Linked DNA regions of Medicago truncatula. The protein of the gene in region 4 interacts with the protein of the main gene of each other region in a pairwise test. Links are inferred from orthologs where the notes say so. Each region holds a gene or a part of one and is shown on either strand. Other genes may lie near its edges. The genes, in order: regulator of G-protein signaling 1, guanine nucleotide-binding protein subunit beta-1, G-protein coupled receptor 1 and guanine nucleotide-binding protein alpha-1 subunit.

Region 1 (7,485 bases), on a different chromosome or scaffold from region 4:
TTTCATTAAGTATGTAAGCAGTAACCCATACAGCTGACACAAGAAATGAACATAGGTTAAATTATTGAGACCACCAAGCTGAGATATCCAGAAAATATAAGTTAGAATATAAGAAAAATATCTTGCAATATCTTGAAGTAATTTAGAGTATCTTAGATTATATCTTGGGATTAGTTCTTCTCATATTTCCTTTTATATTATGGTCTGTTTCCCTATTTATTTTAATTTTTGATCAAGCTTGGAAACTAAAATAAATGCAGGAGAGGCCTGAACCTTCGTACAAGATCAGTCCATAACAATTCTAGTTAATGGTAAACCTAATGAATCTCTATACAGCATTTTGAAAAGCCCATTTGTTTAAGTTGAATTTGAGTTTTAGTGTTCCCAATTCCCCTAATAAGCCAATAGATGCACTTCATGCTTGTTCCTTAAGGCGAACACTAGTCTTCTTATGTCTAGTTGAAACTCTGACAGTACTGTTACCATCTAAGGTTTTACTTTTAGCAGCTTTCTTCCTGCCTTTCTTGCCTGGTTTAATAAAACCATCTTCATGAGAATGCTGCAGAAGGTACTGGTCAGCAGAGTGAGTTTCCTTCAAATTGGCTAGAGTACCATCTGTGTCTATATCATGCTCCAGAGAGCTTTGACAGTTGCTCTTGTGAGCCTCATGGTCAGTATCAGGTTCCAATGTGCTATCAGTAGCATCAGTGTCCTCATCCCCCCAAAACTTACTCAAGATTTTACCATCTTTCAAACAGGCAGCAGACAAATTCTTAGTCTAATATTAGTATGAAAAAGTATACCAACGGATACGGATGATACAAGTATTCCTCGCCAGAGGTCTCTGAGTTCATCAAACCTGAACTCTATATGATGCACAGCAGCAGTTACCCCAACCAAAGTGGCAACATACAACGCATGAAGGCAAACAACTGGTATGGTCCACTGAACTGACATGTGGCAGCGATTGCTAAGAGGCTTCTTTATATGGATAACTGGAGAGAAAATTAACAGCTTCATTAGAAATAAATACAGCAACATGGCAACTTAAGCTAGGCAAAGGGGGATTCTGACAATCATTTCTAGAAATTCCACAAGATGTTGCGAATACTAAGTACATACTGGCTACTGCAGAAAGATTTCAAAAACGAATTACTCGTTCAACTGAAGTAGACAATGTCCAGCAAAATTTTGAAAGAACACAATACATCACATTAACATAGATAAAAAAAATGCAACTCTACAGGTGAAAAACCATCAAAGTACACGGATAAATTTATAGCCACCTCTACTCCCAGCAGCAAAGTCTATGTAACACAAACAAAAGCAAAAAGTAACTTAAAATTAATTCAGATTCTTACCAGCAGCACCTATAATCCAGGGCAAAAGAATAAGTGGAATTAAAAGGAATGATCTGATCAGCGGTAAACGCCTCCTGAAATAGCAGTAAAGAAATTTAATTCAGCACACAACTTACAAGTGGACGGTAACTCATTTAGCACTTGTTAAGCAGTGGGGTGAGTACATATAAAAAGCTGCAAAATACACACAGAGAAAATGAGGGGTTATATTTTCGCGCCACAAAAAAAGGGTGGAGGTAGAAATTTCAAGGGGCAAAGTGAAAAACCTAAGGAAGCATCTGAAAGCTATAGAGCCTAACAACTGAATATCAGGTAGTCACTTACTTGACGAAAATAAAATACAACTGAAATGCTTGTGTTATGCGAGAGCTCAACAGCAAACCAAACCCTAGTGGACCTTCACCCCAAACTGGAAATAAACACAAAGTATGGTTATGCTAACAAGTAACAAATATTCATATGTTCAAATATGAAGTATAAATAAGTCAGAATAGACGGCAAGAAGCTAACCTGCCCACAAGTAACATGACTGCCACCAATGGCTCTTTTCAAATTTGAAGAAATTGTGTGACATCTGCATTAAGAAAAATATAGATAGCTAAGCATGAAAACAAACAGGGCAATACTAACCATTTACTACTGTAACGACTGAACAACGAATATTGTTTTATTTTTTCATAGAAAATCAGTAACATATACATAAAGAACTCTTTTTCTACCATAATTGATAGAAGAAGGTTGAAGCTGGCAACAACTTGAATTACAGGTATCCAGAAACCACTGCCTTTAGTACGAGGAACCTTGTGAACTATGAAGGGAAATATTGACCATATGAGAAGCCTGAAAGATAGAAGCCAACCATTACCGATACAATATGCATAAGTTTAAGAGCTCAATTTATATTTCAAAACAAATGATGCTTCAATTCAACAATAAGGTTAAGAGGGTTTGGAAGAGCTTATTTCAACTTATGACACATCCACTTGGGTAATAGTTTTAAAGAGCTTACCATAATAGTTGATGATATGTTCATAAGCGTGTCTGGTGTCCGACATGTGTCAGTGACAGATACCGACACAACACCAGCACATGTGGTTATGTTCAATTTTCTCAAATTATTATCGGTGACGATGTGTCATAATAAGTACCTAACTACCTGTTGAATAAGCGGTCTAAAGGCCAAACTAAAGCACACTATAAGTGAATCACATAAATCATGAAAGAAAAAAAGAAAAGAAAAAAGGTAAATCAGAAAGGGGTGAAGGAAATATAAGTAAGATTAGAAGTTGTTAAGCTCAAAATTGATAGAGGCATAATATCAAACATGTTATATTAGAAAGTGAATTAGGCAGAAAAAGAAAGAGAGAAGCTTACAGAATGAAGGAGAGAATGGAAACGGTAACAGCAACATAATCAGTGGGACAGCCACCTTTGACGGCACACTTGAAATTCGCCATTCATCTGACTCAGGTACAAAGTACAACAGCAGATTCAGTTTCTGTTCATCAGGTTGTTGTTGCATTCAATCTTAGCTGACAGACAATGTTGTTTTTTGTTCTTTCTTTGTTTTCCTAGTCAACAACACTTCCACGTGCTCTTTTGTTTCACACTTCGATTTACTGTATGTATGTATGTAGTGCACAGTATTTGCCTATGATTTAGGAGTGTTCAAAAAGAAAAAGTATTGTGTTGTTTATAAGCTTAACATAAACATCAAATTATAGCGGTAATAGTTGTTTTAATCTAATGAATAATCATAATAGTCATTTTAATGTCTAAAAATTTTCAAAATATTTTTTGATTGTGCACTTCGTTGGTCAAAATAGTCTCTGACGTTAAAATAGTCGTCCAATATACTTACTTATTTAAAATAGTCAGAGACTATTTTGACGAACATAATGCATAATCACGGACTATTTTAAAATTTTGATACATTGATGGACTATTGTGACTAGTCATTACAGAACGAAAATAATTATTACCCCCAAACTATTTGAGTATAATTGTGAAAAAGAAATTAATCGGATTTTATTTACTTTTCACTTAACTCCGGAATATCAAACACTCTTGTGTTGTGTTTTTTTAAAGGTTTTTATATCAGGTAAGAAGTTTAAAATAGTAACTTTGAATTGAATCTTATACATTTTATATCAAATAATATAAATTTTTAATAAATAGTTGTTGCTTTTTAATAAAAACTTGTTATTTTTCCTTCAACGAAAAAAAAATTATTACTTTTAGTTATTTTAACATGTGCAATATATGTTAGATAAACTATTTTTTTAATGCTTTTTCAATCAAATGTGTAAAGAAAAATACATCATAGATTATTTAAAATTAATTCATATACTTCCTCTCAAAAAAAATATTGTACGCAACAAATTAGCTTATACAAAAAAACAATTGAAGGAAAATTTGCTTATACAAAATTATTTCATATACTTCCTCAAAAAAATATTATTTTCATTCTACTATCTATGAAAAACAATTAAATGACGTAATGGTATATTTAATTAATATTATAAAGCAAAAGAGGATTAATGTAAATGAATAAGAAAATAAGTCTTTCATCTAGAAGCCCATGAGCTAAGAATTTAATTATCAGCATCACTAAATCTAGTCTAGTTTGTTCATAAAAAAATAAAAAAAATCAACGATAGTTGGTCATCAATCAACATTAATAACTATATATGCTTTTGGTTTAAATTAATCCCATTTTGTCTTCGTTGAACCAGAAAGATATTGGTCGTGATTTTAACAATGATTTTATAATACATCACATTATACTATCATCAGCAATTTCCTGAAGAAAAAAAATAGTACTACAATATACCATCATCAACAAAATTATAAAAAAAGCAACAAATAAAAAGACACTGTTTCTCAAAGCAATATATACCAAAAATGTTGAATTGATTAGCGTATATATTTACAATTAAACTTTTAATGTTGCTTAGGAGTATAATAAAGTAGCTTGATGCATAAAATCAACATCTAGAAGCTACGCGGATGATTTGAGCAAGCTGAACTATTTTTTTCATTCTAAGTTTCTCCCCTTTGCCTCGTATTGATGAGATTAATTGTAATCACATGTGCCGACATCAAAAACTACATATGCATCTTTATATCATCGTCTAAGCGCCAAAGCAAAGCCATTTTTTCTGCACACAAAACCAATTGTAAATAAATCACCCAGCTTCACAATAACCTAACACAATTTATTATTGATTATTGTCATCAATAATACAAGTTTGTTATTAGGTACCTTTGAGGAAGCCTTTAAATTTTTATTATTATCGTTGGTGCGACCGGTGCGAGAGTCATATCGTCGTTGTGAAGGAAATCTTCCAGATGCAGAAGCAATTTTCTTGTCATCTCTAGCTTTATTGAATATAACAGTAAACCCTTCAGCTGAGGATGGATCATTTACATCCCATTCCCCAAATTTGGGTAGAGGCTTTCCATCTTGTTCTGAATACTGCACATACATTGTGTCATCAATACCAAAACAATTGATTGATTGAAAATTAAACTCTTCAATTTCACATTAGTTGCTTAGACATCACGTTAAATGTTGCTTTAAACAGCACCAAATAATTAAAATTAATATTTAGCCAAAGCAATTTTTTCTTTCTAATTTCGTTAGAAAGAACAAAAACATGTTTCTTTAACAATTTTTGTTGAACAAAAGACATTCAATGATCGGATTAACGTTAACAAAATAATGTTTGAATACGGATTCCATACACATTACATTCATAAGTTTTTATTTTGTTCTTAATGAGAAAGTAAATGACATAACCAAAAATCAACATGCATTGCATGATTATTGAAAAGGATGGAGAGGGAAAAAGATCATACCGAAGCCATGAGATTGAAGCTGCTTTGTGATGATATTCAACAACACCAGAAGAAATTCTTGGAAGATGGTTAGAATTATGAGTAAAACGAATGAAGATTAATTATTAAAAAGAAATAAAAGATGTGAGGTGGAATTGAATAAGAAAAAGCTTGAAATACAACATTTTATATAAAGGCTGCAGAATGAGAAACAAACTGCAGCGAAAACTAGCTGTTGGATTTACGTTAATATTATTATACTATCATTACAGCTATTTTAATCTACATTTTTAACAATATTAACCCTCTAATAACACTCTGTTTCCGTTAAAAAGTCACCGATAACTATTTATGGTAAATAAATTAACATATTATCCATATAATTAGGACAGCAGTCAACAGATTAAAAAAATTCTAAGATTCTTGCAAAAGGTGGCAACAGTGCTGCATGATCAATTCTTTTTTTAATTATATATAAGAAGGAAAATATAATCTGTACTTTGATGTACATTAACTTACGTTTTTTTTTTTAGAGGATGTACATAAAATTATGTTGAACAAATAATTATAAAATAAAACGTGGAAGATAAAAGTACTTGTTTAAATTAAACTTAAAAAATGATAAAATATTTCTAAGTCGATATGAAATACCTATGCTTCAAGTTCAAAGGCATCGTTGAAACAAATATCTTCAAATAGCCTCAGTATGTCTTTATTCATTGCTTGAGATAGAAATGAGGCACTCTTGAAATATCTCTACAGTTTTATTATACTAACAAGTGAAAAAATTCATCTACCTATTTCCTACCTACCACATCCCTTAATTTTGAAACAAATGTAGGGCAAATACAATGTAAGGGTTGCAATTACAATAAAAATAATTGAAGCCTATAAAAAACTGAACCCAGACATGAAAACTATAATCTCTGAATCCCTAAAATGTGATTGCAGAGAAAACTATTAGAGGGTGTGATGAGACTAAAGAAAAACAGGGTAGGCTTCATTCAGAAGCAAAATGACATTTACTATATCTATCTACATTACAATTTGCAAATGCAGGACATAAGTGTTGAGTAGTCCAGATTGCCTAGAGCACAATTTTTCTACAATATCGTCCCCAGTAGCCATAAATGCATGATTAGCAAATAGCCAATGAGTCCTAATCTTGCTCTGGGACGATTCATAAGAACCCTACTACCGGATACCCTGCATAAAGAAATCAAACCCAACATAAGTGTGTTTGGTAGCATTAAAAAATTTAATGGTAAAAATGACTGAATTTTTCATGATAAATAAATAAAACATGTGAATTTTGAATTTTGAGGTATTTAAATTGAATTAATGGAACTATTAGCATTGATATAATAAAGATGGAATCACTAAATTATCATCATTTAGTTATCTAAACAAAATCTTTTCGACCATTTTACCTTCAAATATAATAAACAAGCACCAATAAATTAATTTTAATTATTTGTCTTGAATCATATTCGAAACTGAATGTTCTTAAAAAAGCCTACAGTTTATTTACTCCAAGGATGATAACATACCCTGCATCAGTTTAATGGTCTAGTACATCTATACATGTTCCATTTAAGGATCTTTCCCAATGAGTGTAAGTATCTTCTAGGTCCTACCACTAAACATCATCTCTAGTCTAGAGTTAAGCTGTTTGATATTCTACGCGAAACACCACCTTAAGGATTTTAGATCATCTGAGTTCAACATTACAAATAAGCGACATCTATTTTGCAATGTAAATTTGAAGAGTGCTTTTGCCTTTCGCGGTTACATGTTAAAATGCTGAAACAGGCAATTCTAAAAATACTTCTACTTTATTCGTTAAAAAAAAAAATACTCCTGCTTAACCAAAGGTAAATATGATGTATAGAAAATAGCAACTTACCAGATTCCATCAATACGATCTGCAATGAGCTTTCCTTGTTTCGGTACGAATCCAGAAGTGTTCAGAGACTTGAATGCATGACCTGCAAAGTAATCTATTATTAAGTATTCAAGTTTTAAAATCAAACAATTTACAGTGAAGAGCAACTAGTAAATACCTTTATCATCATCGGTATCAGCACTGTTGATTAATTGATCAGACTCCCCACCAATATCTAGTGCAAGATGGTCACTAGATCCTTTTCGCATATTTCGCACATGAGCAGCCAATGGGACAGGAGATAATGCTTTTTTGCCAAGAGATCCCTGCGTAAATAAGAAAACTCTTAATATATGCACTTAATCACTTTGATATTTTCTTTTGGCAGCTAGAAAAAAA
Region 2 (7,386 bases), on a different chromosome or scaffold from region 4:
AAGTAGTGTCGGAAAATATCATGATATGACTAGATTTTACAAGACAGAATTGCATTTTGTTTTTGTTCAGTTTTTCTTTTTTCAAAAAATATGGCAAGTTTGCCAAGTCAGAGATTTAATATACTCCTAAGTCTATATTAATGGGAGTTGGAACAACCACTCTTTTTCAGCCTCCCTTCTCCTGTCTTTTTCCAAAATAAGAAAAATCTCAACTAGAAGATAAACCTTCAATTTTCCCTTCAAAATAAGAAAAAAAATTCCTTCAAATAATTCATATTAACTGCTTTTACTGGCCCACAAAACAAGGTCTTAGGCAATGACTTGAGACATAAATAGAAGTGCAAAATAAAATAAACAGCGGTATAAAAGCTCCACATCAAAAGACATTGTGATAGCAAAAAGAATATCAGAAAATTATGAGCCAATTTATATACAAGATGATGCCTAGTGAACTCATCATGATTAATAGACTCAGAGGTCCTATTCCAACACAATGCCACCACAGATTGAAATGTTGAAAGCATAATGAAACCAGAACTCACCCCCAAATCGCATGTAGAAGTAAAGCAAACAATTAATTAATAGAAACTAAACATGCTGTTAGTACGTATCACAAAGGATCTTATTTTCTATATAAGCCAGTTCCTCGCTGCCAAGCCAGAAACATCATGTTCTTTGAGGTGGGATCAAGTTACTCCCAGAGTAACTATGAGCAGAGTTGCTCCTCTTAATATCTCTAAACATAGAATTTCACCAATCCAACCGTCGATCGGTATCAGATTATATTAATGATCAAACATACAAATTGCTTATAAATTCAAAATTTGTACCTATGTAATTTTTTAGAGAACATTTACTTTTATACTTTTAAGAAGCTTATTATACATTCAAGTAGAGTTATTTGATGAAGTGTCAAATAGTTTTGAAATTTTATAAAAATTTGTAGAGTTGACCTACTCAATAAGAATTCTAATTTGGCAGTTGGATTCACACTGAAAATAAACAACCACAATGAAGCATATGTTCCATTTAAAAGCTAAGGTAGGAAGCAACAAGTAAGAAGAAGACACCCAACTGTTGGTTTAGGTCACACTAAAGCACCAACTACCTTTCGAAATAAAATCTCCCAAAACATAATAAGTAGAAATAAAACACCCTGCTGTCATTTCAGGTTAAACTGAAAAACCAATTATCTTTGCCAAAAGTGTCGCAAACATAGTAATCCCCAGTTCACTGTGGTACGAGGCTATGAGCAGAAAGAAAACACCCTACTTTTGTTTTACATAATCACACTAAAGCAACAATTACCTTAGCCAATAAAGTATCCCAAACATAGCAATCGCCATTTGTATATCCAGCAATCAGAAGTCTTCCGGATATGGAGAATGCAATGGAGGTCACATGTGCCATTTCGTTGTCACCGCTGTGTTGCTGATTATATACTTGAAGTTGGTGTCCAGTCCTAATGTCAAACAATCTGCAAGTTCCATCTTCTGAGCCAGTTCCAAATCTATTTCCATCAGGAAAGAATTTGACAGAATTAACATCACCCTCATGCCCATGAAATGTCCGCACTGCTCGACTTGCCACACGAGTGTCCCACAATCTGGCAGTCGCGTCGCAAGAACCAGATACAAACATTTTGGAGTTGGATCCATTAATGGAAATGCTGAGAGTGAGCAAAGAAAAGAAATATTTCTTAGCAATGATCCCATACTAAAAAAAACTATGCTCAACTGATTTTCATATAGATCTCGCTACTATTAAAACAACTTAAACAATACCTAAGTACATCTGCAGTATGTCCAGACTGAAATTCACCTCCAAAAACAGATGTTCTCAGGCCGGTGGTAATATCCCATAAAACACATGTTTGATCACCAGAACCAGTAATTAAGTGAGTGTCTTCGCCTGGAACATACTGACAAGATGAAACATAACCTTTATGTCCACTAAGCATCCTTGAAACATTTAGATTCCCATCCCTATCAGTGGGTGAATTAAGATTGAAAATAGAACAAACACTGTCAAGGCCACCGCATGCAACAGATTGACCAGTTGGGGAGAAAGCACATGTCATGACCCATGCACAAGGAAGCTTTATAGCATGAGTTTTCTGGCTTGTTAGAGCATTCCATACTATTAATCTACCATCTTGAGATGCACTAACAATTCGATTCTTTTCTGAAGTCCAATCCAATGAGTAAACCTGTAAAATTTCGTCAATGGTAAATAAAAACACAATTGCGCATATCTGACAACTAAGCAAAAAAAAAAAAAATCAAAAGCTTCCCTTGCTATCTATCATAGATAGAAAGTAAATGAATCTAACTCAGTTACGGAATGCTTGGTACCTATTAAGAAATTTGAATAATTCTACCTACTACGAGTACTCAGTGTTAAATTCAGCAAAAAAGAAAGTAGAAATTGGAATAAACCTTTCCGGTATGACCTTGGAGAGTTCTACAGCAAAGAATATCTGTGGGACCAAAAGTAACGGGAGTTCTACCTTGAGACTTTGCATAGCCAGCAACTACAAAGAGAAATTGTTGAGTTAGAAGATAAATAGATCTAATGAATGAAACTCGAACTCAGAACTCACTATCTGTATCAAGAAGAGAGAGGCGTCTTTGCTTCAAACGTTCTCTGAGATTGTTGACGGTTTCCGTTGCAGCTATGTGACGTTCCTTCAGCTCCGTAACTGACATTTTTTTTAGGTCTTCCTTCACTGATTCATTCAAATTCTGAAGAAAAAGGACGATGACCACGACCTAATTAATTAATAATAATAATTAATATGAATTTACAATTAGAAATGGTTGAGATGTAAAGTGTGAAGAGAAGAAGAAGAAGAAGAAGAAGAAGAAGTTGAACAAGTGGGGACTAACTGTTTATTATTTACTGACGCCGCCGGGCCCACTTCCTCCATCTGTCACTTGTGTTATTTGGAATGGAATCTGTCTTTGCTTCTTTTTCTATGGATGGATGGATCGAACTAAACTTAATTACGACGATAATTAACGGATAGTAATTTTGTTATTTCATTTCGTTTTGTTTTGTGCTTTCCAAGGTAACAAAAATAATAGTTCCGATGCCGGGAATCGAACCCGGGTCTCCTGGGTGAAAGCCAGATATCCTAACCGCTGGACGACATCGGATGCTTGTGTCAATTTATCCCAATTATTATATTTGACATTTCACCGTGTGCGCACACTACAAAGTACAAACGAGACAGTTTGATAGTGTTAGGGATAACAATGACAATATTATATTTGACTTCATAATTTCATACTTTGATATATATTATCCCTTTTTTTAAATATAATCCGTTTGCTTTAGTTTTATCCGTTTAGTTTGAAATTTTTACTATACTAAAAACATATAGAGTTCTCGTTTTTATGCTCTTGATCCTTTCATACTTCATAATTTATCTTACCCTTGGGTGTTTAGAAATTTATCAAGCTTTAATTTTTAATTTTTATTTTGAGCAAATCAAGCTTTAATTTATCTTACCCACTTGCATGATAAATTTGCATCGCATCCTTTTTATTTGCATCATTAATTATTTTAGAAGACATTTGTATGAGTTAGCTGACTGATCATATCAGATTATTCTTGTGTCTACAAAATTGCAGCATGGGATGCAATTATAATTATAATGTAATTTTAATACAATATCATTTATCAGTACTCCAAAATTGCATTATTTACTTCTCTTCAAAACGTTTGCGGGTTACATACATCTCTTGCTTAGATTTTCTGTCTTTCTGTTTTGAAACTCCACTGCGTTTTACCCTGCACACATCAAGCGGATAAATCCTCAAGAGCAACTTTCATGACACATCAAATTTTATTTAATACTTCTCTTTGGTGCATTGTTCACTCCCATCTGTGACTGGTAGTACAGTAGCTTATTTTCGTTTTTGCAAACATAACTTTATGATATCGATTGCATACATGTGTAAAAAGTTTTACATATAATATGAAATTATTTTGTATGCAACAAACAGGTCGGTAAATTGATATTTTTTTTCCTTCAGTTTTCACACTGATACGTCAATAATCTATGAAAATGGATTGCCACAAGCACACGTTATGCAACGCATACTCATACCTAAAAGATATACTATAATATTAAGAAGAAAAAAAGTTAGAATAAGGTTGGGTATGCATGCCAGAATTGGCATGCCTTGACGATGAACAATTAAAAACATACTAAATTAAAAGGTTATAAATAAAAGAGGGCCAAGGATAAACCCTTATTCGTTGATTAAAATTTAAATTAATGAAGTACTTTGTTTAAGAAAAACTTATTTACTAAAGCCAAGCTGAAGCATCTGCTTTTCAGGTACTCCCACCAGCGTAATTGCAAGCATTGTAACCTACCAAGAAGAGGAGGAAAATCAAGTTAGATAACAAACACAATGCATGTATGATTTATGATTTATTTTTTTTTTGAAGCTACAATGCATGTGCAATGATTTTGGCAAAAGTTGCATTTTAGAACTTCAACAAAAAGCACAATGTTACTACTGTGATTTTGTCAAATTTACTGAAGACTTAAACGTTAGAACCTTATAACTTGTAGATCACTCATAAGCCACAAACCACACCTACAGCCATAAAGCACAACTTAAAAGGACAGTCTGCTATTTCCAATAATTTTCCAATAATGTAGCGTTTTTCATTGCGAATCATGGCTAAGTGATATGTTCTTCATCATTTTTTTATTGATCAGTATTTACTATTAACAAGCATCATTGAAAAAAAGAAATGAACGAATAAGTATCAAAAGAGGATATTTACTTGGATTTTGAGATGTGAGCTTTGCTGTTTGAGTGAAATCACAGTTCCATTGATTTCTACCAAACGTTTGGTAGTAAAGATTCATTACAAAGGCAGCATGGGATGCTACCGTGTTGGGTTCAAAACATGCTCCTCCTGGTAGTATTGGCCCACAATCTATACCTTGGCTACATGCATAGTCAATATTGTTTTGCAACTGAGCATCAGAGACTCCTGCCTTAGGAACACACCATCCAGCAGAAGTGATGGGTGCTGGAGTAACTGGGCTAGTTGATGGTGGATTCTGAAAATCATTCAAACATCTTATCAACCTTTCTTTTTATGAGACCAATATCTTAACATTATACTATAACCAAAAAAATTGAATTGTCAACAAAAATAGGAAAAAATGAAACTAATTTTCATTTTTAATCTCTAAGACTCGGTGACCGAATTAGAAACAAATAGCAATTCGCTCACCTGCTGGCTAGATTTGGCCAAGCCAATATCATATGACATGGAAAGATCAGTTTTGAAGAGGCCGAAGGCGCGTTCGGAACCCGGTCCGGGTTTAAGGTCTTCATCATAGAGTGCAAAAATGTAAGTGTCCACAGACTTCCCGGGTATCAAAGGGGTACCAACTAATGATCTAAGATGGGTAATAAGGTTGCCATTATAGGCCTTGGCGTTTTCAACACTTGGTCCTACTTCATTGTTGTCCCCGCTAGAAGGCCATCCTGTCTCAGCAACCACAATCTCAATGTCCTCGTAGCTCATAGCACTCAGTGCAGAATGCACAGCATCAACCTGCTCAAAAAATCAGCAAGAAAATCAAATACCACTAATTATTACTATGTTCTTAAATATGAGAACATCTCAAACTTTTTCTTTGTCCCTTTTATTAGATTCATTTCAAATTTTCAACTGGTTTAATTATTTCTTAACCGATATACATCTAATTATGTTACACCTTTTTTTTTAGATTGTAATAAATATTGTGACGAAAACATAAACTATCTTTTCTATATTAAAGGGTAAACTAATAGTATACAATAATACAAATTGTCAACAAATATTAATATGCGGCTACCAACTTTTTTGACTATATGAGGAAGATTAATAGAGAGTTAAAATGAACAACCAAGAATAAGCTAGTTTATGGCTTATAAGTTTTTTTGTTTTTGAAGGAAAGTGGACAGCAACTAGGAGAGTAAAGACATACTAGTACATTCACTGACATTGGAAACTTTTTCACCTCTTTATTCCATGAGATCGAAAAAGAGTAAGGATCTTCCTACCATTACCATACTTGCTGCTACTATTACTATGGGTCCATTTTCTCTACTATGCCTAACAATTATTGAGACTTTGGAAGGACTTGTGACCACATTATCTGTGCCAGCTAGTCTCCAATCAAAGTCATGAGATTACAATCTATGTACTCATTATTTCACAGTTGAAACCCAAACATAGGACAGCATTCTCAATCACATATGGATAAGAACAACTTTATTCCTTACAATTTGACACCAGTGTCAATCTAGACTACTAATCAAATACTACGTGTTTGCTCTTTAGACCAATCAACCCGTGAATGGTCTGCTTACGCAAGTCTTATGTGGGCATTTAACATTTCCAAGCTCAAGACAGAAAGTTTAAGTCATCTAAACTCAAAGAGAACATATTGCTGTTGTAATAAAAATTTATACTTTAAAAAATTATCAAAAAATCATGAAAGAAACAATGATTTCTTAAAAATAATATATTTGTAAATAAGGCCGGTTTAGCAAATACAATAAGTTAGTTTATAGCTTATAAATTATATTATTAAAAAATACTTGTTTGACTCACCGTCGAAATAATCTAAAATAAAATTATTTATATAGCTTATAGTTTATATGTTATATTTAGCTGCGAAGTAGTATTTAGAGGAAATTACACTCACCTCCCCCGAGGTTTGACTCAATAGCACTTACATTCCCGCTAGTTTTTAATTAAACAATAACCACCCTTGTATCTTAAAAATTATTTATATAGCTTATAGTTTATATGTTATATTTAGCTGCGAAGTAGTATTTAGAGGAAATTACACTCACCTCCCCCGAGGTTTGACTCAATAGCACTTACATTCCCGCTAGTTTTTAATTAAACAATAACCACCCTTGTATCTTAAAAAAATAGACGCTCACTGCCCCTTTCAAGTTAGCGGTGTCTATTTTGACAGGAAATTAGAATGATAATTTTTTTACATATTCAAGGTTTCTCCAGGGATTTCACGAGATTGAATAGCATTAGACCATTGTTTGCAAAAATAAAAGTGGAGAAAATAATGATAGAAGAGCAAAGGAAAGGGTTTAAGGATCTAAGATTGACGAGAATGAAAATTTGTTTTGAAGTAAATCGAATACAAAACGAGAGTGTATTTTCCCCTAGTATTTATTTGAATGATGCAACGCTTGTTTCACTCACATATAAACAAGGCTTTTAATTTTTCCATTTATTTGCGTAAGCTATCAATTTTTTGTTTCACTAATATATAAACAAAGACTTTTAATTTTTCCATTTATTTGCATAAGCTATAAACTCTTAGTTCATATCATT
Region 3 (6,868 bases), about 350 kb from region 4:
AGCACCGCTCCTTCAGAGAAAGGAATTTCTCTGCCCAAACCTTCTAAGGTCGTAACTAAAATGTGACAACTTCCCCTCTCTTGCTATCCTATCCTTCATATAACCGTCATTACCCTCTAACAAACTAGCCACATCAGCAAATGCAACCAAATCCCCTATATAGTACATTAGTTGGGCTTAGGCCCAAACCCAGTATCTAACAGCATCCCTAAGCAATTAACAAAAATATGGATAGAATGCTGTTTAGAACTTTAAAATGTCAGAAAAATTTGCTCACATGGATTTTTCACAGCTGTTAATTTTAGCTGCTTTGCATGTTAATCTACATATGTTATTTTGAATTTTGAAGAATTGCAACGAGGAAAACAATCCTATCGTAGGTAAACAGGAGCTTACATTCATTGCCAATCCTTTTTGCATTTATATGATATCAAATTACATAGATTTAGAGAGAGTGAGAGAATTGACACTAGAGCATGCAATTGAGATACATATACCATTAAAGAAAGAGGATTCCCTACTTGGCGTTTATTCTAATTTTCATGAAAATCCTAATGTTTCATCTTTACTATAACAGCAGAGCTTAATATGGAGAACAAATTGTTGTTACAAATCACGCAGAGGCCAATAACACTTAACCCATGCTAAAGTTATGAAACAAAATTTTCATGCTTTAGAAAAGTTAATTTACATTTAATTCTTATATTAAGCTCACACCTCTTCTATTGAATTAAAATCCCATCATATACCATATGTAAAACCAAAATAATGATGTGGAAAATGAAATAAACAAAAAATTCTGGGAATTGTAGGAAAACAACATGTGACCTGCGTTCCTATTACTACTTGCCTTCCCTGTAAGACCTGTTTGAGACAAACACCATGTACCAAAATGTCTATGGTCATTACCAAAGGAGCGCATAACTGTCATAACCAGCGAAGTACCTATCAAAAGTTTAGAGAAAAAAACATCAAATGAGCTCTCTTCTATGCAAGTTGATAATGGAATTGAACGAAATCAAGACTAGTTGAAAGTCCTACTCTTCATGCATAACCAAAGCCATTCCATCAGCATTACTTTGTACAAGAAATTCATTTTCAAATCAAATGTCATGGGATTGGGATATCACATGACATGAAGATTATTGTAAAAATACGCCGTTTCTCAAAGCTACAATATTAAAAAGTTGATTCGTCGATAGATGCATACCCCAGACGTATAAATGGAACATAGCCTCCAAATCTTCAACATCCGTTTTGTGTTTTACAACAGTGCGGTGAAGGGTAAAAGCAATTGTTGTAGTCCAAAGGAAAGATGCCACACAAAAAAAATGTGTACTATATCCCTGAGCATAACAAAATAAACTATTGGATGGGTCCCTGTATCAAAATGAAACTTCTATCAATCACATGATGAACAGATTTAGTTGATACATACACTTGAAGAAAATTGCACTTGAACTAGCAAGTATACCCTATTATGCTGAAGAAACTGCAAAGCATATCCTGCAACAGGTGAAAATTCATAAAAGAGCATTATGGCTTAGAAGAAGAGAACATGGTGAAACCAATGCAATAGCTGATCATCTAATGCACATGAACAGACTATGATTCCCGAAGGACCTACTTCTCAATTGTAAAACAGCATTACAAATTCAAATTAAAGTGGCTAAGGGGAACAAATGACAAGAAAGATTACAAAAGCTGGTACCCTGATTAAAAAATTTACTAAAAACCAACAGTTTTCATCACCAAAATGTAGGTTTTACAAATTAGCACCAACATTGAAGTCAATAACTAGCAGGTAACAACAAGTGTTGTCAACTGTAGATGGCGGACCATGGCAGGAAGTTAAAAAGCTGCCATCATAAGACACTTTATCTGCCATAAAACGCAATGGCGCCTCAATCCTTCACAAATTGGCCATGAAAGATGTCAAAACACCGCCACCACAATCCGCCATGGCCTATATTTGACAACACTGGTAACAACTGATAAGTTTTACAAAGCATATATCAAATAGAGAAGCTTACTCTAATTACTAGCTCTGTAGCTCACTATAAATAACTATCAGTAAGCATATTAAAAGATATTGGGACTCCTAATTATTACAATAACAATGTAGGTAAACAATGAAAATTAAGCTAAAAAAATGGAGGCAAAACAGTCACGCTGAGGTTCGATCTTAGGATTAAGCAGTCCTCAAATAACCTTGGTGTAACTTAACCATTACACTGCTAAAAGTTCTAAATTGTGGTCTGCAACCGCAATTGCTGGTGCAGTATAAATATTTCTTAGAGCTCTCTGCAGCAACTGTGTCCGCATTTGTAACCACTGTTAGATAATAAGTTATTGGGCGCTTTAGGTTTCTAAGTTACTAATCGAGTCCATTAGGTTTTACTATAGATTTGCTTGTAACCTTTATTATGTAATGTCATTGTAATTAGTTCCTAACTGATAAATCTCCAAATACCAGCTTCTGCTGTAATTCGTTCCAAACTCTAATTGGCCGATTACGTCAACGATAAGCAACAATTAGAAGCTAAGTACAAAATTAAGTAACTAAGTTAACAAAAACAAAAGCGCGTTTAATCATGTGATTTCATTTCAAACTGTGCGAAGAGTTTAAAGTAATAAATAAAAAAAAATCGAAGCAATTTTTTGAAAATACAAAGAGAAAACGCAGTGTTATAGATCTGAAGCGAAGAAAAGGAAGCATACCGAAAGTGCTAGATAGAAAACGAGCTTGAAGGAAAACTTGCGAAGCTCTTTGAAGAGAAGGTAGCATAGTACAATGAAGCTTGAACCAGCGAAAGAGAGACTCGACGCGCCGACGTTTACTGCGGTGAGAATCCCACGATCGGAGGCGGTAAGTGTGGTGCTGATGGCGGCGGTGGTCGCCATTGCGGGAGGAGGAGTGAGTGATCGGCGATCAGTTTGGTTGGTTGGTTGAAGTTACAGTTGAGTGGTTAAGTGGTGAATATGGAAAAGGGAAAATGAAGTTGAAATTGAAACGGTGTTTTTGGGTTTTGTGAAACAACGATAAAACTTAATTGATTTTGAAATGAGAAATGATATTTGTACCATCAATTTTTGACAACTTTTGTGACAATCTCTATCTCATACTCACATTATTGATTTTGTGACAATCTCTTTTTTTTGCAAAATTTTGGTTGTACTAAAAGTTGTCACATAATTGGTTGTTTAAATAACACAACTCTTTTGAAATATCAATTTTGGGTAGAATCATTTTTGTCTAAACTGTTACTTACATTGCATGGGGCAATTTGACAATTGCTCCCTCTTAGATCAATTTTGTTTTATTTGCTACATGCTAGAATTTTTTAGAGGAACAAAAATATGTCACTTTTTTATAAAAAATAAAATCAAAATTCGTTATATTTATAAGCACCAAAAATAAATTTAACCCTAATTAATATTAAAAAGTTTTGTGGAAGGAATTAATATTACAAAGTTAGATACAAACTAAATTTATTTCTTTATAAATAATGTAGTAAATATATATTTACGTTATATTTTTTTCAGCTCAGATTTAAACATGTCTATGTTTTTAAATGAAAGGATTAACGTAAAAAAAATTGGTGCAAAAGATTATTTTTAAAATGTCAAACTCACATGACTTTCATTTAATTGAAAAATGGGTGTTAGAGAAGGTATTTATAAGATAAATGAGTGTTTTAAGCCACATAAATTACTCTGTCAAAAAACAAAGTCACAGAAGTTACTTGAGCGCACCCTTTCAAGTTTTTATTTTATTTTTGACTCAACCCTTTTAAGTTCAACAATGATATATCGACCTTATCACAAAATAATGCAATGATATGACGACGGTATAAGCTCTACGAATATTCCCTCCTTAACTTGCTATTTTTATTGTATTCTTAGCAAATCATTTTTTATTATTGAGCAAACTCATGAGTTAATTTTACCAACAAAAAAAAAAAACTCATTTTGTAAATACAACCAGACTATGAGACTAATATGCGGGATGGGAAAAATAATAATAAATATTCCCATTCATCTAGCTATGATTTGAAATCTAAAACTATGAACACAATCCAACAATAATTTTGTCAAATATATTATAATTTGATGAGTTGTTTGTATATTCTAGACTAGAGTTTGAAGTCATCCAAACATAAGTAATACTATTGATAATAACATCCGTGCAAACACTTCCTTCAAGCCTTTGTACTTCATCAATCCTTTACCACTTTTGAAAACTTGAGTTTCCATGTGGTAGTATAGTACTTATTCCATATGAAACATTTGCTGCAGCTCTAATATTTTTTTTTGGCTATGACATACCAACATCGACTTGATAACCATCAATCGAGATTTTAAATTATTGATTTGTCAAAATCACAATATGAATCGTCTAATCTCTATCCAACAACTCTAATAAATAGACGAAGTGATTATACGAGTCACACATGTATAACTACTTGCATCATGATTTTGAAAATCAAACTTGTCCCTTAGGAAAATATATGTAACACAACTTTTTTGTTTTCCTTTTTTCCTTTTCCCTTTTTTTTTTTTTTTTTATAAGCTATAATATTTACCTAAGTTACTTAGGTGTACTATATTGTATCTTTGTCACCATTTTCATTTACAGCAACATAAACAAATGGTCCTATAAAAACATCATCAAAATCTTGAAGTGGTTCCAAAACCTTAACAACATCACTCATGAAGGGTCTTGGATTTGGGTGATGACTCAAACATTTAAAAGCTAACATAGCAACTTTCAAAGCTCCTTTGGTAGGATATTGACCTTCAAGTCTACGGTCGATAATACGGTGCAGCTTCTTTTGATCTCTCAACATTGGTCTTGCCCATTCCACCAAGTTTTTCCCTCTACTTGATTCTGAAGACTTATCCACTACCCTTCTTCCTGTGAGCAATTCTAATAGAACCACTCCATAGCTATACACATCACTCTTTGTTGTGAGGTGACCTATATATAATCAATCGGGCAAGGGTTAATTAGATTCAAATTTTTTTTCTTCGTCTTAACCCTAAAATTATCAGCGAAAACAATCCTGATAATCTAGAGTTCGGCCAGGAGCAGCATAAAACAGGGTTAACATTTTGTATGGTAGAGTCATACCTGTCATGATGTACTCAGGAGCCGCATAACCATGTGTTCCCATTACGCGTGTCGTTACATGTGTCTCTTCTCCTTCAGGACCATCCTTAGCTAGTCCAAAGTCTGATAACTTAGCTGTATAATCCTGGATTTGATGGGAGATAAAAAAGTCCAAGTTAATAATTTTCTAATATGGCCACATGGAAGATAATTTTGTAGATGCAAGGTGATCTTTGAAGTTTATGAATAAAACAGAAAGGGAAGAGAAAAGAACATACCGAGTCTAGTAAGATATTTGAAGCTTTGAAATCTCTGTATATTACAGGTTTATCTGCTTCATGAAGAAATGCTAAGCCTTTAGCAGCTCCCAATGCGATTTTCATCCTTGTTGACCATGGCATAGTAGCAGAGTATCCTGTTTGTATTATGTTAGAACATCAACCTCGGCTCAAAAGAAAAACGCAAACAAATAACACACGAGATTTGATCAGTGAGACGTCTACGGCTACCATTACCGAGCGGATGCTATACCTTTCTATAATTCAACCTTAGGATTTATAGTGTACAAATTGTGTTTACATACTATGGTCCAATTTACAAGATTCCACTTATTAGTAAACTATGAATCATACAAACATATTAGAATAATGAAGCAAACCTTAATTATTGTGTTAGTGTGAGAGTTTCTAATCAGACTCAACAAAACTAATAGATTTAAAAAAAATAAAAAATTAAGTGTGTTTAATAATATAGAACATCAGATCAAAATTATTTGGCCATTAGATCTTGTAATTGATCAGGTTTGACTTTGAGTGAGTTTATGTACCAAAAATGATAAGTCCTAATGATTATTTAGTATCTACTTAATTTAATTTTGTGCCTTTTGGGAAAAGAGTGAAAAAATGATGAGAAAATAAGTAGAAAGTAGAAAAGAAACATACTTCTGAATAATTGATTCTCCAAGCTACCTCTTGGCATGTATTCATACACCAAAAGCCTGTGTTCATCTTCAAAACAATATCCAATTAACTTCACAAGATGTGGATGACTTAGTTGTCCAAGAAATATAATCTCTGCCTAGAAAATAAAAATATGTTCAAAACAACATTTTTTTAGATATATTTTTTCCACAAAAATTGTGGTATTTTGTCATGGAAAAAAGTAATCTTAGCATATGTTTGGTTCGGCAATGAAATTCATAAAATTCCGATGATCCATCGTGATTTTGACAAAAACTATACTTTAGAGCTTTAACAAAATCATAGTGAAACCGTAATTTTGCTCAATCAATTGCCAATCCAAACATACGCTTCGTAAACTAAAAGGGTGCATCAGAAAGCTAACCAGCCACTCTCTATGACCTTGCAAGCCATCCAAGTCCAAACATTTAACAGCTACAGTTTGAGCCTTTAACCCTTGTCTAAGTTTATCATCAACAAAACCCTTATAAACAGGTCCAAATCCACCTTCACCTAACATATTACTCCATGAGAAATTATGTGTTGCTTCTTTTAGCTCCTCAAGTGTGAATGCATGAAGTTTAGAACCAGCAAAAGAAACTGAAAGATCTTCAATAGCTTGACTTGAACTTGAATTGCTTATATCTGATAAACATAGTCTTTGCAAAGAACCTTGTTTTAGAACATGTTTCTCTGATTCCTCCAAAGGGTATTTACTCTTGTAACAATTTAGGATCAAGATCATAGACTTCCATGTTATCTTTTTAGTAGTAGTCATCTAGAATTTGTATAGTGT
Region 4 (7,038 bases):
CAATCAAGTACACACACACAGTGCTAAGATACGGAGAAAATGCATTTTCTTACCTGCTTAAATATAGTGGACTTCCCCGACTCTCCAGCTCCTAAAAAAAGGGATCGTTGATAAGTTTAAATAAGTGCACCATAAAAATAATAAAAGCAAGCATGAAAATGAAATATTATTGCATAAATGGTTCAATCAAATGAGTATGCAATTATTCGCAGGAACATGATAGATAACTTAAAAGAAGAAGTCATTACGATAAATAAAGAAAATCTAATCTCCTGTTTGATCAGTTATTCCAAATCCTAAAAACATGAGTATACAAAATAGTTTCCTCAATCATCAATACTAAAAAAAATTCATCTGTAAATTTTATTTGAAAAAATGGAGGCAGCAATGATCAACTCATGACCACTTGGTCAGAAACTTGATGCCATATCAATAACCAACTATCCCAAAAGCTCAGGCTACTAGATGAAAGCTCGTAAATGGTTTTATATCAAAAATACATATGGAAATCAAGTAACCCTCAATCGGAAGTTGAATACACTTTTTCCATAGTACAATAAAACACCTTATGCTGCAAAGATGACAGTTTCCTCCATAATGGAGACAAAAAAATAACGAGAACATTGAATGTTTGGAAACAATTCAGTTCCTGCACAAACAAACTACTTATGAACTCTCGGTATTCGGTTGGGACTAGCTTGCAAGGTGAGGGATGTCTTCCACTTATATAATACATTGCACGTCATTTCTCATCTAATGTGGAACTCTCATCACACACCCGTCATGTCCAAAACTGGACATCCAGAGTGTGACCCAAATAACCCGAAAGCAGGTGGTCCAACGGATCTTGGATAGGCTCTGATACTACTTGGAATTCAGGTTACGCCTAATTCAGTCCTACTAAACCAGTTTGTAAACGAGGGATGTCTCTCACTTATAAACACATTTTCAGCTCATATATCATCTAACGTGAGACTCAACATAAAAATATAGACATTCCTTCAAAACCTGGCAAGTGTCATCATTTATACATTGTAGATTCCAAAATGGCAAAGTTCAACTTTATAATGTAAACATGGACCATTAAGCATATAAGACGAAGATAAAAAGACAATTGTCCAATAAAATGTACCTAGTAGTAGAAGTTTCTGAATATGCTTTTCAGCCTTTGTTTCTAACTCTATTCTTCTTTCAATTTCTGCAGTCTGTAAATGCATGTAAGCTTAATCAAATATAGCACTTTCAGATTATTAAGAACTTAAAAAGTATGTACTCAATCTAGTATAATTGACCTGTGCATTTTCTTCAGTGTTGGCATCATTATAACGGCGACTTTTGCTACAGAGTAAGCCCATATTTTCTGCTACAAAACACAGCATAGAAGATGATTAGTCAAGCTCCAGCAGTAGTGTGTGCATGCATTAGTGGGCTTGATTTCACCTAACAAGGGAACTAGCATAGTGTCAGCAGCACCAGAAAACAAAAAGAGACGTTTGGCACATTGAATTTGAAGTTGGCGATTATTCTCAATAAGTGTGTTTGTTTTAGCAAAACATTGAGTGTGTTTGACATGAAAACAAACATACACAAGGTAAGATATTTGGCCCAAATCGCTATAGGCCTGTTAAACAGTTTAATTAAACATTTATAACAAGCGTTTACCATATAAATGCTTATTTATAAACTATTTCTGTAACAAAAGATGAAATAAAATATTGTTTTCGTATAAGTGTCATAAGTTATCCTGGAGAGTTAATGGAAATAAGCTGAAAACAACTTATGAACGTGCGACTTGAATTCCTCACAAGTCCATCATCAGAATCAGATGCAAACAACCCCATCAGTGTTATGAGGATAATTGAAATGCCAAGAAAAGTTGAAGAAATTCAAATGGGGCATTATATTATTGTCTTAAAGTATCCTTTTTAGTCATTCCCAAAAAATTCCTCAATATATTAATCTCTTCAGCATCAAATATTAATCTCTTCAGCACTTTAACCCTCTATGGTCATGTACATAGCTAAACAGAAACAGAATTTTTATTTTTTTTAACTCGGTATCCGGCCTAAGGACGAACTAATCTGAGGGACCAATCCCTCCGTCCACTAGCGGGTGCCTAACTGAAGCCAGAGCAAAACATGCTCTGAATGGATAGGTTCAACACAAAAACTAAACTAAATCATTTGAAGCTATGAATGCTAAATATCTCCAAACAAAAGGAAGAAAAACAAAGCCCTTTCAAATTATTCTGAAACCATAAGCATGCAAACTAACAAAATAGTTAAAGAGAATATAATAATACACTCCAAAATGGTACCGTAAGTCCCCAACCAAATGCAAAATCACAAAAACAAAATTAAATATTAAAAAAAAAAGCCAAATATTATGCTAAATTGCAAACATCTCGATCTACATATTCAATTGCAAAATCAATCCCCAGCAAAAAAAAAAAAATTAAGACAACCCAGATAAAATTTCTCAATAAAGGATGGATCTTGAAAGAGAAATTAAGAATGCAAGATAAAAAAAGTAGGTTACCTGAAAAGGGTCGTTGTTGTTAAACTAGATTTGAGTGATGAATTGGAGATGAAGCTAAAAAGCAAGTTCAGTTTTCTTCAGTAGTAACACAACAAACATTAACAATAATAATAGCATAAAAAAAAAAAAAAAAAAACAGTAAAAATTTGTTAATTTTAAGGTGATAATAATAAATTAAGATATAGTACTAGTTTGGGGTTTTTTGAATGTAGTGTAGGTAATAATGAGTACAAAAATAAAAAAATAAAAAATAAAACATGTATGGTGGTGGTTGTTGAAGCTGGTAAAAAAATGAAAAAGAATGAGAAAAATGGGGTTAAAGAAAAAGAGCGCCGAAAGGTGATTCTGGTAAGGCTTGTTCTTGTTCTTGTTTGGTTTTGGTCAAAGATTGGAAAAAGACAGGAACATACATACATACATACACACAGGTAAGCACTGCTTTGCTGTGTGAATGACAACACTTTTCTATCTATGTGTCTTGTTGGAAAAACACACACACACCACCACTTGTACTTTCTTATTTTATTGTTTTCTCGAACTCAGGCACATAAATTGTGAGATTCTCTAAGTTAGATTTTGATACAGATGATTAGCTTAATAATATTGATATTGTTTGTTAATTAAACCATGTTTTATGGAACTTTTCGTATTTTGCCTTCAACAAATTTTACATTTTTGTATTGTTTGTATTTTCTATCTAATTTTTTTACATTTTTTATTTATGTAGATTTTAACATGTGAGGAGGATCTCATCTTGAGCAATAGTGCAATGATTGTGAGGCTAGCAAAATTGTTGAATTTGATTTTATTTCTTTCACATTAAAATGTGAGTTCTTTGATTATAAAAGAATAGAATGTGACTAAAAATTACGATAAATACGAAAAAAATAGGTTAAATACTAACAAGTGTTTTATAGATAGAGAAATCAACTAATAGAGATGTTGTCTTTCAAGTTGTGTTTATGTTTAACCCAATATTTATATGTTCAATAATCAAGTTGTATTTCTTTGAATAAATTAAAGGCAACAAATATCGTATTTGATCTCTCAAGAATAAAATATTGTGTTTGTTGTTTTGTTTTGTACTCAACTGATCCAATATGCACTTTACGACCAAAGCTTTCTAGATATTCAAAGTAAAAGATGCGTGGTCTTATTCTTCTATGTACTACAAGTCTTTGTCTTCTTCTTTTCTTTAACTCTATTTCATAGCACATTTTTCTTTCTTAATTATTTAATGTTGAATTACTCTGCCCATATTTGACTCAATTATGGTGTTAAAAGCTTCAACTTTTGCAAATATGATTATGCATCAATAGCTAAACAGAGGTGGGAATTATCACGAAATAGTCATAATCCATAAAAACGACAACTTATACGGGGTCAAATTATTAAGAAATATTTTGGTGTATATATTCATTTTTTAAAAGTAAGGTATTACTTGGGACCTGTGAAGCCCAGATACGAGATACGATACTGCACCGATACGTCGATACGGAAAATTTTCAAAAATCAAGATACGATACGGCTGTGATATGTTAATAAAAAAATTATATAATTAAATATACAATATAACTATAACCATTTTTAATATGCAAATATGTTAACAAACAAAAGAAACCGATCATATGAGTTAAGGATAGACCCTTGGTGCAATCCTATGAGTGGTATAATATTTATTTTGTTTTATTTTAAATGAAGAAAGGACTTTTCTCGGTTACTTTAGTGTTAAGGTTATAACATGTTCCTCATAATATATGTCTTATATAAGAGCAAGAAAATGGTTGGACTACACACACTCACTTGAGACTTGTTGTTGGGTTGAATAGGTTCACAAGGAATACTTGGAGTTGTGATTAGTGTACATTGAAATGAAGTCTTAGAGGAGACATAAGTTTTTATTTGAATTGTCATATGTTAATCTTTTTATTGCTGCTATGTCTATGCCTTTTGCTTGAGGAAAAGCAAAGATTCAAGGGTGGGGGAGTTTGATGAGTCAATAATTATCTATTTTAGTATAATATTTAGTTTAGTTTTAATTAGATTTAAGTTTATTTTATTTTAATATTATTTCCTTTTTGAACTATTTTACTTCAATTGCATATTATTATATTTCAGGAACGAATATTTAATGGATTGAGTCTTGGAGCAAAAGAAAGGGGTTTAGAGCTGATTCGGAGCAAAAATACGAAGATTCGGAGACAAAAATATGTCTCCTCCAAGTCAGAAGCTTGGCACGGCCGTGCCACCTCCCATAACACCTTTTGCTGATTTTGTTTAGATTTTAAGCTACTCTATTTTAGTTTTACCAAAAAGCCCGTTGTTTGTGGAACATTCTAGTGATGTAATTGCTTAGATTCTAAGTCGAATGTAAACTATAAATATAGGAGCTAGCCATCACTAATATTCATCTTTTCTTGGAATTCAATAAGTGACAATTGTCTTTCTAATAAAAGTTCTTTTATTTTCCTTTACTTTCTTGTTATTTACTTTTATGCTTTTCTCCTTCTTCTTCATGTCTACGATGAACATGAGCGAGTAGACTTCTCTTGTCTTGGGATTGCTGGATAAGTCTTAATGACATAATCCTAATCAAACTAAGCTATTGACCCTAATCTTATGTAACCCTAATCTCTAATCTAAATTCACCGTTTTAACATGAATTAACCATTATCAACTGTGTAAACGAAAGTGGAGGGTTTGATAATTGTTAATCCATCATCTCAAATATCAATTCATAAAACGAAAGTGGAACTTTGATATTCGAACAAGTGAATTTAGACAAGGGTTGCAAAGGCAGCGAAATAGTCTCTGCAATCTTTGATACATACAGTTTCGATCTTCAAGGGAACTAATAGTAATCAAGTCAGCGAAATAGGCTTGGTTATTAAAGGAACCAAAATCTAATAGTAATCAAGTCAGCTTGGTTGCTAGAGGAACAAAAGAGAAACTGTCTTTAGAAGTTAGGTATAACATAAGGTTCTAGGTTTAATGGTTTGGTTTGAGAAGGACTTGTCATTAAGGTGAACCAATAATCCCAAGCCTCTTTTTATATTATTATCTTTCAACCCTTTTGAAAACCCCAACTTTGCAACTTGATTCTCTTCTAATCATCAACAAAAGTTAATTGAATTTAACAACTCCATGTCGGAACGATACTCTTATTTTAATACTTCGATAGAACCGTACACTTGCGGTTTTATCCCATCAAGAGAGAGTGGGGGTAGCACCTAGAGTAGACAAGTTGGTAGAAAATAGGCTTAGAAGGTTTGGACATGTAGAGAGAAGACCCGTAGATGCCGTGGTAAGAAGAATAGATCAAATGGAGGAGAGTCAAGTTAAAAGAGGTAGAGGAAGACCTAGGAAAACTATTAGAGAAACCATTAGAAAGGATTTAAAGGTCAATGAGTTGGATCCAAATTTGGTGTATGATATAACACTATGGCGACATTTGATCCATGTAGCCGACCCCACTTAGTGGGATAAGACTTGGTTGTTGTTGTTGTTGTTGCAACAAAGAAACAAATTAGATTAAGGAAGACACACTTTATGGTAGATCGGAGAAAATCACTAACATATAGTCAACTAAAGACCTAATCATCCATGCCGAATAGAATTGATTAATTCTCTCTATTATTTTATGAAAGGTTTAAATATGCAATCCGTCCCTGTAATTTGGGTGCGTTTTGATTTTCGTCCTTGCAAAAAAAAAAAAAATCCCTGTAAAAAAATATTTGTTTTAAAAAGGTCCCTCGCCCCACTTCAGTTATGATTTGGCATGGGTTTGGCCACGTGGCAGTTGCTGACTGTGCAACTTTTGCCGCGTGGCATGCCACATTATTAAAAAAAAAATCATAAAAAACTTATGAAAAAAATTTCGGGAAAAAACTGTTAAAATTAAAAATTTTGTAAAAAAAAGTGAAAATTAAATTTTTGAAAATTATTCCGAAAAAATAATTTCCAATTTTTTCTTTATTTTAAAAAAAAATTGGAATTTTTTCATAATTTTTTAATTTAATAAAAAATAAATTTTAAATGACGTGGACTGCCACGTGGAAAAAGTTTGCAGAGTCAGCAAGTGCCACGTGGCCAAAACCATCCCATATCAGCAAAAAAAGTGGGGTCAAGGACCTTTTTAAAACAAAAAAAGTTTTACAATGATGTTTTTAAATTTGTTTTTTTTACGGGGACGAAAATCAAAACATGCCCAAATTACAGAGACGAAATGCATATTTAAGCTTTTATGAAATCTATTTTTTGCACTTATAAATTATAGGAAAAATTACAATCACCTTCCATATATAAATTATTCTCTAATAGCACCAACATCCCCTCTAGTTTTTAAGTAAACACAAACCCCCTTATTTTTTCTCTCAAAGTGATAATCACCACCCTTCCATCTAAACAACTTTTAGTTTGACAAAATTCTTAAGTTAATCCTTTAAGTTTCGAAAGTTTCAATTAGGTCCTTTTTAGTTTGACAGAATTCACTGTTACCCC

The links.
Region 1: the proteins of guanine nucleotide-binding protein alpha-1 subunit (region 4) and regulator of G-protein signaling 1 interact in binary tests that used the Arabidopsis thaliana proteins (3 or more experiments, as listed by UniProt). The link is inferred for Medicago truncatula from reciprocal best matches to the Arabidopsis thaliana genes GP ALPHA 1 and RGS1.
Region 2: the proteins of guanine nucleotide-binding protein alpha-1 subunit (region 4) and guanine nucleotide-binding protein subunit beta-1 interact in binary tests that used the Arabidopsis thaliana proteins (3 or more experiments, as listed by UniProt). The link is inferred for Medicago truncatula from reciprocal best matches to the Arabidopsis thaliana genes GP ALPHA 1 and AGB1.
Region 3: the proteins of guanine nucleotide-binding protein alpha-1 subunit (region 4) and G-protein coupled receptor 1 interact in binary tests that used the Arabidopsis thaliana proteins (3 or more experiments, as listed by UniProt). The link is inferred for Medicago truncatula from reciprocal best matches to the Arabidopsis thaliana genes GP ALPHA 1 and GCR1.

What each region holds. Positions count from the first base shown.
Region 1 is NC_053044.1:42,432,990-42,440,474, reverse strand, and holds the start of regulator of G-protein signaling 1, read right to left. Parts: upstream 3,012-7,485; 5' UTR 2,819-3,011; coding exon 2,736-2,818; intron 2,202-2,735; coding exon 2,081-2,201; intron 1,936-2,080; coding exon 1,872-1,935; intron 1,771-1,871; coding exon 1,686-1,770; intron 1,436-1,685; coding exon 1,362-1,435; intron 996-1,361; coding exon 804-995; intron 34-803; coding exon 1-33. Other genes in the region: protein NOI4, read right to left, coding at 4,496-4,522, 4,627-4,839, 5,223-5,231; golgin subfamily B member 1, read right to left, coding at 6,305-6,407, 7,108-7,189, 7,265-7,412.
Region 2 is NC_053044.1:57,900,573-57,907,958, forward strand, and holds the start of guanine nucleotide-binding protein subunit beta-1, read right to left. Parts: upstream 3,027-7,386; 5' UTR 2,889-3,026; intron 2,882-2,888; exon of another isoform or gene 2,772-2,881; 5' UTR 2,709-2,771; coding exon 2,603-2,708; intron 2,534-2,602; coding exon 2,439-2,533; intron 2,210-2,438; coding exon 1,785-2,209; intron 1,670-1,784; coding exon 1,309-1,669; intron 1-1,308. Other genes in the region: glucan endo-1,3-beta-glucosidase 7, read right to left, coding at 4,345-4,382, 4,807-5,089, 5,266-5,592. UniProt on the Arabidopsis thaliana protein: Guanine nucleotide-binding proteins (G proteins) are involved as a modulator or transducer in various transmembrane signaling systems.
Region 3 is NC_053042.1:3,734,640-3,741,507, forward strand, and holds the start of G-protein coupled receptor 1, read right to left. Parts: upstream 3,027-6,868; 5' UTR 2,905-3,026; coding exon 2,722-2,904; intron 1,507-2,721; coding exon 1,475-1,506; coding exon of another isoform or gene 1,439-1,474; intron 1,381-1,438; coding exon 1,211-1,380; intron 946-1,210; coding exon 851-945; intron 1-850. Other genes in the region: serine/threonine-protein kinase RIPK, read right to left, coding at 4,605-4,981, 5,135-5,258, 5,392-5,528, 6,055-6,190, 6,458-6,850. UniProt on the Arabidopsis thaliana protein: Together with GPA1, may regulate the cell cycle via a signaling cascade that uses phosphatidylinositol-specific phospholipase C (PI-PLC) as an effector and inositol 1,4,5-trisphosphate(IP(3)) as a second messenger.
Region 4 is NC_053042.1:4,088,624-4,095,661, forward strand, and holds the start of guanine nucleotide-binding protein alpha-1 subunit, read right to left. Parts: upstream 3,017-7,038; 5' UTR 2,539-3,016; intron 1,441-2,538; 5' UTR 1,380-1,440; coding exon 1,293-1,379; intron 1,206-1,292; coding exon 1,133-1,205; intron 92-1,132; coding exon 54-91; intron 1-53. UniProt on the Arabidopsis thaliana protein: Exhibits a fast rate of basal nucleotide exchange. Guanine nucleotide-binding proteins (G proteins) are involved as modulators or transducers in various transmembrane signaling systems.